Linked DNA regions of Cricetulus griseus. The protein of the gene in region 1 binds, or shares a complex with, the protein of each later gene. Links are inferred from orthologs where the notes say so. Each region holds a gene or a part of one and is shown on either strand. Other genes may lie near its edges.

Region 1 (3,662 bases):
GACATTTGGATCTTCCAGTCCATCGTTTCTTTCCCAGATCAATGTTTGCATTGAGCTATTCAGAGGGAGAAACTATATGTGGTCTCTTTAATAATAGAATTTAGTCAAGGGGACATTTGAAATAACTTGAAATCAATGTGACAATTTATGTGGAACATTTGAGAAATGAAATAAATCTGTTTCCTTGAAAATGATTCCAAGGCCAAAGTGAATGATGTGACATCGAGACTGTATAGTCATCCTGGAGGCCCTGGCACCTATAGCTTCTGGGAGAGCCAGGCAGCCTGGATAGATCTCACTCTTGGGACCAATCCATGATAAATTATCTTCTATACCTACTTTAGCTCAAAGCTCAGGTCTGAAATTTCTTGTTGGGTTAGTTAAATGACAAATTTCCAAATCCCTGTGCTTTTTTTCTTATATGGTGATGTTAGTCACCTGTCCCTAATAAGTGTGCAGGGTTCTCACTGTTCCCTACCCTTTGAACTGAGGATCGAGCCTCATGCATTTTAGATAAGTGTTCTACTGATGAGCTACACCTTAGCTGCTCTTGCATTCTACAAATGGCTGCTGATGGATGAAGAAGTCAAGCAAAGAAAACAATATGTTCATTTAACTGCAACTTGATCCAAACGTGGGAAGTTCTGCTCTTGTTCCAGCACTTTAAGGGAACTTACATGTTCCATTGCCTTCCAAATCTAGTGAAACCTCAGTTAGTTGTACAGTTATGCATGATGTGAGAGTATCCTGGATGGCCCATGAAATTCTCGTGAATAAACACTAAATTTATATTTTAAAAAGTTGCCGGGTGATGGCTGCACATGCCTTTAATCCCAGCACTTGAGAGGCAGAGACAGGTGGATCTCTGTAAGTTCAAGGCCAGCCTGGTCTACAAAGGTACACAGAGAAACCCTGTCTCAAAAAACCAAAACAAACAAATATTCCCAGGGGTTTAAAAGATGACTTAATCTGAAATGTCTTTGTTCTGTCCTCAGGAAATGAACCTGGGTTTATGTCCAGTTTTAAACTGAACTTTAAATACTGCAGAGAGCTGTTGGCCTCATGCTGAGAGGTTAGACCATGTACTGACCTGAGCATCTTCAAATGTGTATCGTCCTGGTTCCTTCACATTCTGTGTGGTTTTATCATAACTCTTAGAATCCAAGTTAATGGCACTGGGGGCCCCAGGAGCCAGAAATTCTTGCCATATTTCCTGCACCCGAGAGGGTACTTCTCGGATAGGCCTTTTCTTCAGGTCCTCCACCGCCAGCCAGAACCTACAAAACACCACAGCACCTGTGAGCCCCACAGGCATACCTGGCCATCCTTGTAATGTCCTCTCACTACTCTAGCAAGCTTAACTTTCTCTGCAGATTCCAACATCACTCCCCTGCTAGCTGTCTTTTTATTTTTCAAGAGTCATATTCAAAGGCATCAAATTATTTTTTGTTAGTTTTATTTTTTACTTTTAAAGATAGGGTCTCCTGTAGCTCAGGCCGTTCTTGACTTTCCTATGTTGCTAGAGATGACCTTAAACTTCTGATTTTAATGCTTTTCCTTCCCCAGTATTCAAAAAGTGCTTCAGAAGGAGGGATTGGAAATCACTGGTTTTCAGTGGCTTTTATTAAAAGCAGATGTGCCAAAGCCCCGATCCTGCATAGTCTCAATTTCACTGAAGCAACACAGAAAGGGCTTTATCTTCAAACACAGCACTAACAGAGAAAAATGTCCATACTGAAACAGCTGCAATGCTTGGAAGTACACTGGAGTTTCTGTAGGGAGTATACACTAGAGAGTTGAGGATGCTGAACCAGAAAGAGTCTTGACACAGTGGCCGGCATGTGGATGGAATAAAGAGGGTTCAGGGAAGCTATTCTATTTGAACTGACATCAGAAATTCAATGGAAAAGTGGGTAAAGGAGCCAAGTGCTGAGGGATTAATGTGATCATGCACACCCATATGTAGGTGAAGGTACTATTGCGAGTATTTGCAGTCTTCACAACATTCATACTGTGATGCATTCCCCATATTAGAGATCAGGAAAGTAAAGATGCAAAGACTAGGTGATTTATGGAAGGCTGGCTCCGGAAAATCTGTAGCAGATGGCATTCTCACAACCACTTCATCACACTGTTTCCCTAACAACAGCTTCACCTTCTGTATTCTCATCATCAACGTTAGCACAGTTGGCTTAGCTTTGTAAAATGGAGAGGGTACCGCTTTCAATCCCACTGTTCACTTGATAGCAGCTGGAGTCTAAGGAAGTCACTGACATCTGCACTTCTTGATTTCCTCATCAATACAGTGGCATGAAAAAAAAAGCACATCTACCAGGGGTGCCACTTGGAACCAGTGGAACTAGTGACTAGTTCAAGGCATAGTTTAAATAAAGGGCATCTCAAAATGCCTGGCACAACTTTATGTGCCTAACCCATGCTATTACCATATTGATTTAGCAAAATATGGGCAACAGAAGACAGAGGGTGTGTCTGAAGAGTAAGCAGAGATGGGTAAGCAGTAACTCTTGAGTCCTCCCATCCTGATAACTGAAGTGGCAGTCTCATTGACAACAGATCCTCTAGACTCTAGTTCAGAGGCTGCTGCTGCTTAGATAAGATGCACTGAGAGTCACTGAACTGCAAATCCGGCCCTGCTTGTTGTCTGGATCACTGTGGTGTGGGAAAGAGATACTTAGGTGGAAGCCAGGGTATGGTTTAAACTTGGGTGAAAGGTTCAGGCATTATGCTGGCCTGCCCCTGTTACCTGGTGGAATCCACTCAGGCAGTGCCCTGGTCAGCCCAAGGTTCCATGGGAACTAAGTCTGCACACAGATGCAGAGGACCCCTTTAAAAGATAAGTCCCTGCCCCTTTATGCTCTCTGTTTCTCTCTGTTTCTCTGTTTCTCTGTCCCGCTCTGTTCCCGCTCTCTGTCCCCTCTCTCTGTTTCCCCGCTCTGTCTCTCTATGGCGACCGGCCATGGCGGTCAGCCATTTACCCTGTTCCTCTTCTTAGTCTCCCCATTCTGCCGGGCCTTATAATAAACTTATAGTCTTATGTCTCATGTCTCAGCACTTCTCTTTTCTTCTTTTTAAACAAACAATAACATTTTGGCGCCCCACGTTGGGCCTTATAATAAACTGATAGTCTTATCAGTATTTCTCTTTTCTTCTTTTTAAACAAAGCAATAACATTGGGGAATGGTTGGCAGGAGGTTCATACTGGCTCATAAGAAACAAGAATGTCACTTCCTGCACTCTGACCTTGTCCAAGATGCTGATCTGACTTAGACATGTTTTGTTTTGATTATCTAGGAAATAAGGCAAGAACATTGACTGCACATTTTTGATTATTTGATTCATATTTTTTTCAGAAAGAATGGAGGCAAAACACTATATACTATACTCAGAGAAGTTGTATGTATAAACATAGTATACATTGGGACCTCAAAATGCCTTCCATGCTGTGTCTTTCTAGGGTTTATCTACATGTAATAAAGAAACACGGTAGGCATGTAAGAGCCAACTCAAGAAGTACATATGCATGTGTATATATATATACACACATATAAGACATATTTAATACTTGTATGTACATTTTCCTGGGTTGCCATCCTCTTTATTTTTCTTTATTTTCACTTTATTATGTGTGTGTGTGAGTGTGT
Region 2 (4,360 bases), on another chromosome or scaffold:
GATTCCCAATTTCCTGAGGAACTGCCATACTGATTTCCAAAGTGGCTGTCCAAGTTTGCACTCCCACCAGCAGTGGAGGAGTGTTCCCCTTTCTCAACATCCTCTCCAGCATAAACTGTAATTGGTGTTTTTTATTTTAGCCATTCTGACAGGTGCAAGATGGTATCTCAGAGTTGTTATGATTTGTATTTTCCTGATGTCTAAGGATGTTGAGCACCTTCTTAAATGTCTTTCAGCCATTTTAGATTCCTCTATTGAGAATTCTCTATTTAATTCTGTATCCCACTTTTTAATTGGATTGTTTGGTGTTTTGGTGGCTAGCTTCTTGAGTTCTTTGTATATTTTGGAAATCAGCCCTCTGTCAGATATGGGGTTGGTGAATATCTTTTCCCATTCTGTGGGCTGCCGTTTTGTATTGTTGACTGTGTCCTTTGCCTTACAGAAGCCTCTCAGTTTCACGAGGTCCCATTTATTAATTGTTGATCTCAGTGTCTGTGCTACTGGTATTACATTCAGGACGCGGTCTCCTGTGCCAGTTTGTTCAAGGGTACATCCCACTTTCTCTTCTAAGAGGTTCAGTGTGGCTGAATTTATGTTGAGGTTTTTGATCCATTTGGACTTAAGCTTTGTGCATGGTGATAGAGCTTGAAGTCAGGGGTGGCGATGCCTCCAGGGTTGTTTTGGCTATCTTGAGTCTTTTGTTTTTCCATATAAAGTTAAGTGTTCTTTCAAGGTCTGTGAAGAATTGTGTTGGTATTTTGATAGGGATTGCATTGAATCTATAGATTGCTTTTTGGCAAGATATCCATTTTTACTATGTTGAACCTACCTATCCAAGAGCATGAAGATCTTTCCATTTTCTGGTATCTTCTTTTAATTTCTTTCTTTAAAGACTCAAAGTTATTGTTATACAGGTCTTTCACTTGCTTGGTTATTATTACCCCAAGATATTTTATGTTGTTTGTAGCTATTGTAAAGGGTGATGTTTCTCTGATTTCTTTCTCAGCACATTTATCGACTGTATTGTGGCTGCAGCAATCTCAATTCGAACCCGAGTCACAGCACCAATGTTAGCATAAAGCTTTAGGGGGACCTTGGTTGGGGGACAATAGCACATTCCATGGCAGGTGAGGTTGACTGAGTCAAAGGGAGAAACATGCCAGGCAGACAGAGCTTAAGTGAGAAGTTTTATTAGAAAGGGGAGGGAGAAAGAAGGAAAGAGAAAAGAGGTCAAGAGACACAGAAAAAGAACTGTAGAGTAGAGGGAGACAGGAAAGGTCCTGTCTGCCCAGGGGAACAGTGGAAAGAGAGCGGAGAGAGAGGAAAGAGCAGAAGAGAGCAGAGAGAGAGGAGAGCAGAGAGGGAGAGGAGCCAGAAAGAGCACAAAGATCAGAAAGAGAGTAAAGAGAGCATAGGGGGGTGGGGGTCTGTCTTTTAAAGGGGTTTGCACCTGCATGCAGACTAGTGCTCATGGAACCCTGGGATGACCAGAGTACTCAGGATGGCCTGAGTGCATTGTGCCAGGTGACGAGGTAGGGCAGCATAATGTCTGAATACCAACAATCCCACCTTTATTTATTATTGAAAATGTGAGGAGTTAGGCATGACAGGTTAGGAAATAAGGAGAAAGGGTCAAAATCTCCTGAGCAAATTGGGAGCACACTGGGAGGGGAGAGGTAGTTAGGAGCAAAATAAGGGGAGAATAGGAAGGGGCAGGAAGACATGAGGGAATAGGAAGATTGAGTTGAGGGAAGAATAGAGAGAGCAAAAAAAAAAGATTAAAGAGAAAATTGGCTCTAGGGAAATATCCACAGTTATACTACAATGACCCCAACTATGAATCTAAGCAATATTAGTTCAAGTTAGGGAACAAGCTTGTTTCACATGTAAGTCCCTTCTCCCTCTCCCTCCCTCACCCCCATCCCTCCTCCCCTACCCCCAACCTACCCCCCACCCCATCCACTCACCACTCCCCAGGCAGGGTAGGGCCCTCAACAGGGGCTCTGCAAAGTCCACCAAATCTTCCTGTGTTGGGCCTAGGCCCTGTCCCATGTGTCCAGGGTCAGAGTGTAACCATTCACGTGGGATGGGCTCTCAAAGTCCCTTCTTGCACCAGGGAAAAATACTAATCCACTACCTGAGGCTCCCTGGAGTGCAGAGGCCTCCTTATTGACATCCATGTTCAGGGGTCTGGATCAGTTTTGTACTGGCCTCCCAGACAGCATCTGGGGTCGATGTGCTCTCCCTTGTTCTCATGATAGGATAAGGGCAATTAAGATAGTCTCTCCCCAGGAAATAGAGGAGCAGAAATATTGACTTGGGGGAAGAATAGAGGAGAGAGAGCAGGATGAGAGATAGCATATCAGAGGGAGCCATTATAGGTCCGAGAAGAAATCTGGAACTAGGGAGATCTCCAGAGACCTACAAGGATGACACGATCTGACAATCCAGGCAATGGTGGAGAGGATAACCTAAAAGCCCTTCCCCTAAAATGATATTGATGACTTCTCTTTATGCCATCCTAGAGTCCTCATCCAGTGGCTGATGGAAGCAGAAGCAGAGACCCACAGCAAAACATTGAGCTGAATTCTTGGAATCTAGTTTGTAGAGAGGGAGGAGTGATGAGCGAAGGGGTCAAGACCATGGTGGGATAATCCACAGAAACAGCTGACCTGAACAAGGGGAAGCTCATGAACAGCTTAGGATGGAACCAGACACCCGGCATGTGGGTGTCAGTTAGGAGGCCTGGGCAGTCTATGGGGCCCTAGTATTGGAACAGCATTTATACCTAGTATTCAAATGAACATTGGGAGCCCATTCCCCATAGAGGGTCGTCTCAGCCTAGACACATGGGGGAGGGCCTAGGCAGAAGAGAGATGGGGTGGGGTTAGTGGGGGGGCATGGGAGGGAGAGGGAACTTGGATTGATATATAAGATTGTTTATAATTTAAATTTTAAAAAGGAAAAGGATGGTGTATGCTTAGAAATGGGGACTTTTGTTACTTTGTTGTTGTTGTTTCTCTGTAGCTTTGGAGCCTGTCCTGAAACTCACTCTGTATTCCAGGCTGGCCTCAAACTCACTGAGATCTGTCTGTCTCGGCCTCCCAAATGCTGGAATTAAAGGCGAGCGCCATCCCTGCCAGGCATAGAACTTTGTTACTTCTTAAAAAAAAATGTGGCTGCTAGCAAACAAACCTAAAACAAAAGTTCAAATTGGAAATATTTTATTGTTAGAAAATGTACTGGTTCTGATAACATTTGCAATGATAGATAAGTGAGTTTTCCTGTTGTGAGCAATACTGTGACCGATTATATTGCTGTCTTTTCTTCTCCGTAGTGTATGCCAATCAAAGGCCTAGGATTTGTTCTTGGAGCCTATCAGTGTATCTGCAAAGCAGGATTCTATCATCCCCGTGTCTTCTCAGTGAACAACTTTCAGAGTAAGTGTTCTTTGCCTCTAAACATGTGCATGTTACACACACACACACACACACACACACACACACACACACACACACACCATGCCTGCTGACAATCATTCAGATAATCATTTCACCTTGTTGAAGTTACAAGGTCAAATCCACATCGGCTTGGCTTTCTTAAAACACTTGCAAGTTTTTTGTTTGGGTTTGGCATTTTCAGTGCTGGGGTGGCTGTGCATGAAGACATGTGTGCTTGTATGTATTTTAGTCTTCAGAACATGTAAAAGCCTGAAGATGTTATAACTCTTGGAGATGACCTAAGTTTTAGCTTTTGAGAATTGTTACTTGTTCAGTCCAGCTAATGAGTTTGGTTCATACCTGAGAAGGGGAGTACGGATTGAGGAAAGAAACAGGCTAGAGACAGAAGATAATGTTGGGAGGGCGCCCAGTGAATACTGATATCTGCCCTAGTTTATTGCTCAAAGTTCTTATATGCCCCAACCAAAGGGGGAGGGGCAGAAAGACTTTCTTACCAATGATACAAGGAAAAAACAGATGTAATTACTTCCTTAATTCTCTAAGTATCTAGTAATCACACCTTAGATCAAACCTGTTGTTTGGCCTTGAAGATTAAGTCATCTTGTCAGCATATCTTAGATCAACTATTCGGTTATCTAGGGAAGGCATCATTGAGCACACCTTAAGCCACATGTTAGACCTTTAGGTCTTAGGCCTTTAACATTGAAAGAGCAAGGCTAGGTTTGAACTCTCTGACCTTTAGTCAATATTTAATGGAGTCATTTCTATGAGCCTGACAGTTACTGGAAAGTTTCTAAAACTTATTTTGCCCATTTATTTTATTTGTGCATTTTATTATAAGTTACTTTTCAATAGTGCATGGAAAGTTATCAGTGAGCAGCTTAGCAACACATATTTGT
Region 3 (4,146 bases), on another chromosome or scaffold:
GGTTTTCACTTCTGTCTCCTCCCAGTCTGCCTAGAAGCCAGAAAGCTAGAAGAAATTCTGGTAGATAAACAGTCCTGGGTGACCTGTCCAGGCTCCCTGTCTTAGCTGTTTAGACAGCCTGGCTGATCTTGCCCAGCTAAGCAGAGAGCAAAACTAAACTCCAGTGCTCCTGAGCCCAAGCCTGCTGGGCCTGGTAGGAACTGAACAGAAATCCTGACTTCTTTTTTTCAAAGTACATTGCATCTTATCCTTGCCAAAGGTGGCTATTATCAGGCTTCAGATCACCACCAAAAATGTCCTCAGCCCTGGAAATCAGTCCCTGCCTGTCTCAGAAGAGTCACCAGGCTGAGCTCAAAGCTGTGGCTCACAAGGGCCCCCATCTGGTAACAGGTGGTAATGCACCATCTCCTGATCCGACAGGAGTGCTGCGCCCTTGAGGTACACTGACGTACATGTAGACAAAACACTCATCTACATAAAATAAAATAAATCTTTAAATTTTTAATTTAAAAAGGTGTGTTTATTTTATGTATACTAGAGGTTTGCCTGCACGTATGTCTGTGCACCATGGGGCATGCCTGATGTCAGTAAAACCAGAATAGGGCATTGGCTTCCCGGAACTGGCATTACAGAGGGTTGTGAGCCACCATGTGGGTGTTGGGAATCGAACCTGGGTCCTTTGGAGGATCATCAAGTGTTCTTCACCAGTGAGCCCTTGCTCGCTATACATCTACACTTTATATGAATACACTTACACTTATGTAGCATGTTTTATACATCCATTTAATAAGCTAGCATTAACTGAACTATTTATTTTATTTACTTTGGTTTTTCGAGCAACTTCGGTGAGCATCAAAAGAGTCACCAGGGAACCTAAGCCCAGGGAAGTGTAGGTGGAGAGGAGCCACTGTAGTCTGTTACTCTGTCACCATAAGCAAGACTTCATTCCAGAGGAAAGGACGCCTCCGACTCCAGCAGGGTGTGCCACCGACCCCTACTTTTGCTGCCCCATCCCAGGACCCCGGCAGCCAGAACTCATTTTTAAAAGAATGTTTCTGGCTAGAGGGTTGTGGGACAGGTTTCTGACGCATCCTGCCTCAAGTCCCCAGGGATGCAGAGGGCTGGGTTGTGTCGACTTCTCTAGGCTCCCCTGGAGCGAAGAAAGAGGAGTTGGGACCACAGCTTGTTCTGTGAGCCTCAGTTCCCCCAAGCCTCCACCCCTTATCCCATCCAGGGCATAGCCCCGCCTGGTTCTCAGGGAGAGCGCGGAGGGCGGAGCCGGGGAAGTCTGCCACCGCCGCGGTCGCGTCACCGCCAAGGGGGCGGACCCGGGGAGGCGTCCGGGGTCACGGAGGCTGCTGCTGATCCCGCCCTCTCGGCCACCCCGGCGTCGGCTCTCAATCTCCCGCTTTGCGTTTGTCTCCCGGCTGCATCCCGACGAAGATGGCAACCGATGGGCTGCACGAGAACGAGACGCTGGCGTCGCTGAAGAGCGAGGCCGAGAGCCTCAAGGGCAAACTGGAGGAGGAGCGGGCAAAGCTGCATGACGTGGAGCGTGAGTGCGAGCCGGGGGTGGCGGGGAAGCTCTCGTGGGCCCGACCCTCCGAGGGGCTGGAGGACCCGCGTGGGACCGGTTCCACCGCCCGGGGTGGGAGGATGCTGAGCCCCTCCCAGGGGGCGGGTGGAGAGGCGCAGCCAGCAGGTGTGCCGGGGCGGGACCGCTTTACTGCTCCCCGTTGGGACTCTGCCCCCCGTTAGATCCTTTCTCCCCGCGGATATGAGGCTCCCTTTCCCGTGTCTCCACTGTCCGTGGGGGCAGGGAGCTTGATGGCGGAGGGAAGCGGAGACGCCTCCTGCATCCACGCGTTCAGCTTGCGGCAGGCCCTTTAGAAGCCTTTGATGGATGCCGCGGTTGACATAAAAGGGCCAGCGCGGTGTAAATAAACTTGCCGGCGTGCCCGCTTCCATCCCGGTTCAGAACAGGGGTGGTCAGAGAGGGGTGGTCCTCCGCAGAGCTCAGAGTGGAGACCCCGCTTGGGCAGTGGTCTTACCCGCTCACCCTCCCTTGCAGAGCAAGGCTTGTTAGCCAGCAACCCCCCACCCCGCAAACACACACACTTATGTGTGGTGTCCCCGCCTTCCTAATTGGTCACAGCCTTAATTTAAGTTCCATTTGGAGAAGGGAACTGGGGTTCAGTAAGGGGCCTTTAGCATTTATTTTCCCTGAAACTTGCTGGAAGTACAGAACCCCTGTTATGCCTTCCCAGGGACCTTCTCTTGTTAGAAGGGCAGCCCGCTTCTGTGAGATTTCGAAATGTGTCCAGATGTAATTAGTTAAATTGTGAGTTGTTTTTCTGGTAACAAGATCAGGTCTGGTGCAACTGCTTGGTGCTTTGAAGAGCCCAGGCCTTTCCACACCATCAGCCATTGGCATTTACCCAGTGACTCCAAGATGACTGCCATTGCTCCAAACTTTGCCTCTGTATCCAAAGCAGGAAGAAGGGAGAATGTGAACCCCGGGCTCTTTTCCTTCTTAGGGAGAAAGCAAAATTTTTCCCAGAATTCCTCTCTTCCTAAGATTTCTATTTGTACTTTATTAGCCAGAACTAGGCCATGTGGCCTCTGCCAGGGAGTCTGGATAAAGGGGGCCCATGCTAAGCACATTGCCACCCCAAAGTTGAGAAGTAGGGAGTGGAGACATGGGGTCAGTCTCTCCTTCCCCTTTTCAGAGCCTTGTAGGCTGAAGGTGGTGATGTTGTCTCAAGCTTGGTTTAGTGCCTCAGACTTCTCTGTTTGACAGCTGAGGAAATGGAGACGTTCCTTGGCCCTGTGGCTTGTGCATTCATTTTGAAGTGCTACACAGGTGGCCCTTGTGACATGAGCCCCTCACTCTAGAAACCCCACCCACCCACCCACGGGGGGGGGGTGATCTTGTCTTGCATCCTCTTACTTAGAGTCCTACTCTGACCATAGTCTCTCCCGGATCCTTGGGAACCCTGGCTTTCCCCTGGAGCCCTCAGCCCTGACCTGTCTTCTATCCCTTCCCTAGCATCAGCACAGATACTTTGATTAACTTCCAAAAGTCTTGCCAAGGGACCATGACTCTATCTGGTCCTCCTGCCTCCTCCTCAGCCCTGGATGGACCAACAGCCTTCCTTTCTCCTGCTGCTGGACTCATGAGGCTGCTGAAGAGGAGGCACCAGGAGGCCTCTGTGGCCAATGGCTAAGTCACCCTGTAGTATCTTCAGACAGCTCTCTGCCCTGGCAGTTGTCAGCCACTTAGCATTCTGTGATGGCCTCTGTCCTTTTACTTCCTCCCCCAGAGAAAATGGAAGGTAGAAAGCTGGGCCCTGAGTTTATAGATCCAACCCCCCTTGCACACCTGACTGACTCTTCCTGTCTAGGAGTTAACTTCTTCCCACCCCTAGTCTTTAGTTTTTCCTCTATCTCTGCCCCCTGCTTCTCTGTCAACAGTCTCTCTCTCTCTCTCTCTCTCTCTCTCTCTCTCTCTCTCTCTCTCTCTCTCACACACACACACACACACACACATACACACACACATACCTCTCTTTTTCTCACACAGTTTGCCAGCCCCTGGTGTGTCAGGCTCTGTGTGCAGCGAACAAATCAAGAATGTTCCCTCAGAAGGCTTTGGTCCAAAGCTGGGAGTCAGGCATTCAATAGGTAAAATAAGTTCTAGGCTATATATGTTCTCTAGATAGAAAGGAGGGGGTAAGGAAGAGAGAAATGAGCTATGGGGGAACTCAAAAAACTCGCAGAGACTGTGACCCAGGGTGGCTCCTGGGAAGGATGTTTGAATGCAGATTCCTTACTTGTATAAAAAAAGGATAGACTGCCACAGTGAAGAGAGTTTGAAACAAAAATCAATGCAAAGCTGTTAAGTGTGTGTGTGTGTTTGGGGGGGGGTTGGTATAGTGAGCCAAAGCTGAGGCAGGGGAGTATGCTCGCTGTACTGGGGGGAAGCTGAGGCCCTGTCTGGAGAGGCATACACAGTGGCGGGGTAGGAGGTGGAGTTACAGTGGGGGGCTGTTGAGGCCTGGTGGGACACAGTGAGGTCTTGGTTGCTCTTGCTCTCTCTGTCTCTCTGTCTTTCTGTCTCTCTCTCTCTCTCTCTCTCTCTGTCTC

Evidence for each region.
Region 2: the proteins of Rgs7 (region 1) and Gpr158 are in contact, whole or in part, in a cryo-EM structure (PDB 7SHF), measured with the Homo sapiens proteins. The link is inferred for Cricetulus griseus from reciprocal best matches to the Homo sapiens genes RGS7 and GPR158. Residues at the interface, in NP_001351815.1 of Homo sapiens: Gln35, Ile43, Ser55, Arg109, Phe110, Thr112, Pro113, Tyr114, Phe115, Lys134, Thr136, Lys140, Ala141, Arg142, Leu143, Leu145, Ala146, Asp147, Ala150, Leu153, Gln157, Trp164, Phe168, Met169, Gln170, Glu172, Ala173, Gln174, Lys176, Val177; in NP_065803.2 of Homo sapiens: Leu507, Lys508, Phe510, Leu511, Arg513, Thr514, Tyr595, Tyr598, Ala599, Thr602, Val603, Pro604, Ile714, Arg715, Leu718, Lys719, Tyr722, Leu725, Glu726, Tyr728, Lys729, Arg730, Met733, Ile734, Thr735, Asn736, Asn737.
Region 3: the proteins of Rgs7 (region 1) and Gnb5 are in contact, whole or in part, in a cryo-EM structure (PDB 7EWP), measured with the Homo sapiens proteins. The link is inferred for Cricetulus griseus from reciprocal best matches to the Homo sapiens genes RGS7 and GNB5. Residues at the interface, in NP_001351815.1 of Homo sapiens: Pro19, Leu22, Val23, Lys26, Val30, Ile72, Val76, Glu77, His80, Leu81, Leu84, His88, Val207, Asp213, Ile214, Lys215, Lys216, Leu258, Gln261, Ile262, Trp265, Gln266, Gln268, Leu269, Arg271, His272, Arg273, Leu274, Lys275, Met276; in NP_057278.2 of Homo sapiens: Leu57, Glu60, Ala61, Glu62, Leu64, Lys65, Leu68, Glu71, Lys74, Leu75, His76, Asp77, Val78, Glu79, Leu80, Val83, Leu90, Phe93, Arg98, Arg99, Leu109, Lys117, Arg118, Ser134, Phe135, Trp149, Met151, Leu167, Tyr197, Ser206.

The regions. Positions count from the first base shown.
Region 1 is NC_048598.1:18,546,973-18,550,634, reverse strand, and holds part of Rgs7 (regulator of G-protein signaling 7), read right to left. Parts: intron 1,278-3,662; coding exon 1,091-1,277; intron 1-1,090. UniProt on the Homo sapiens protein: GTPase activator component of the RGS7-GNB5 complex that regulates G protein-coupled receptor signaling cascades.
Region 2 is NC_048596.1:212,158,062-212,162,421, reverse strand, and holds the start of Gpr158 (probable G-protein coupled receptor 158), read left to right. Parts: upstream 1-1,470; coding exon 1,471-1,524; intron 1,525-3,337; coding exon 3,338-3,440; intron 3,441-4,360. UniProt on the Homo sapiens protein: Metabotropic receptor for glycine that controls synapse formation and function in the brain. Acts as an atypical G-protein coupled receptor that recruits and regulates the RGS7-GNB5 complex instead of activating G proteins.
Region 3 is NC_048597.1:186,571,889-186,576,034, forward strand, and holds the start of Gnb5 (guanine nucleotide-binding protein subunit beta-5), read left to right. Parts: upstream 1-1,318; 5' UTR 1,319-1,443; coding exon 1,444-1,555; intron 1,556-4,146. UniProt on the Homo sapiens protein: Enhances GTPase-activating protein (GAP) activity of regulator of G protein signaling (RGS) proteins, such as RGS7 and RGS9, hence involved in the termination of the signaling initiated by the G protein coupled receptors (GPCRs) by accelerating the GTP hydrolysis on the G-alpha subunits, thereby promoting their inactivation.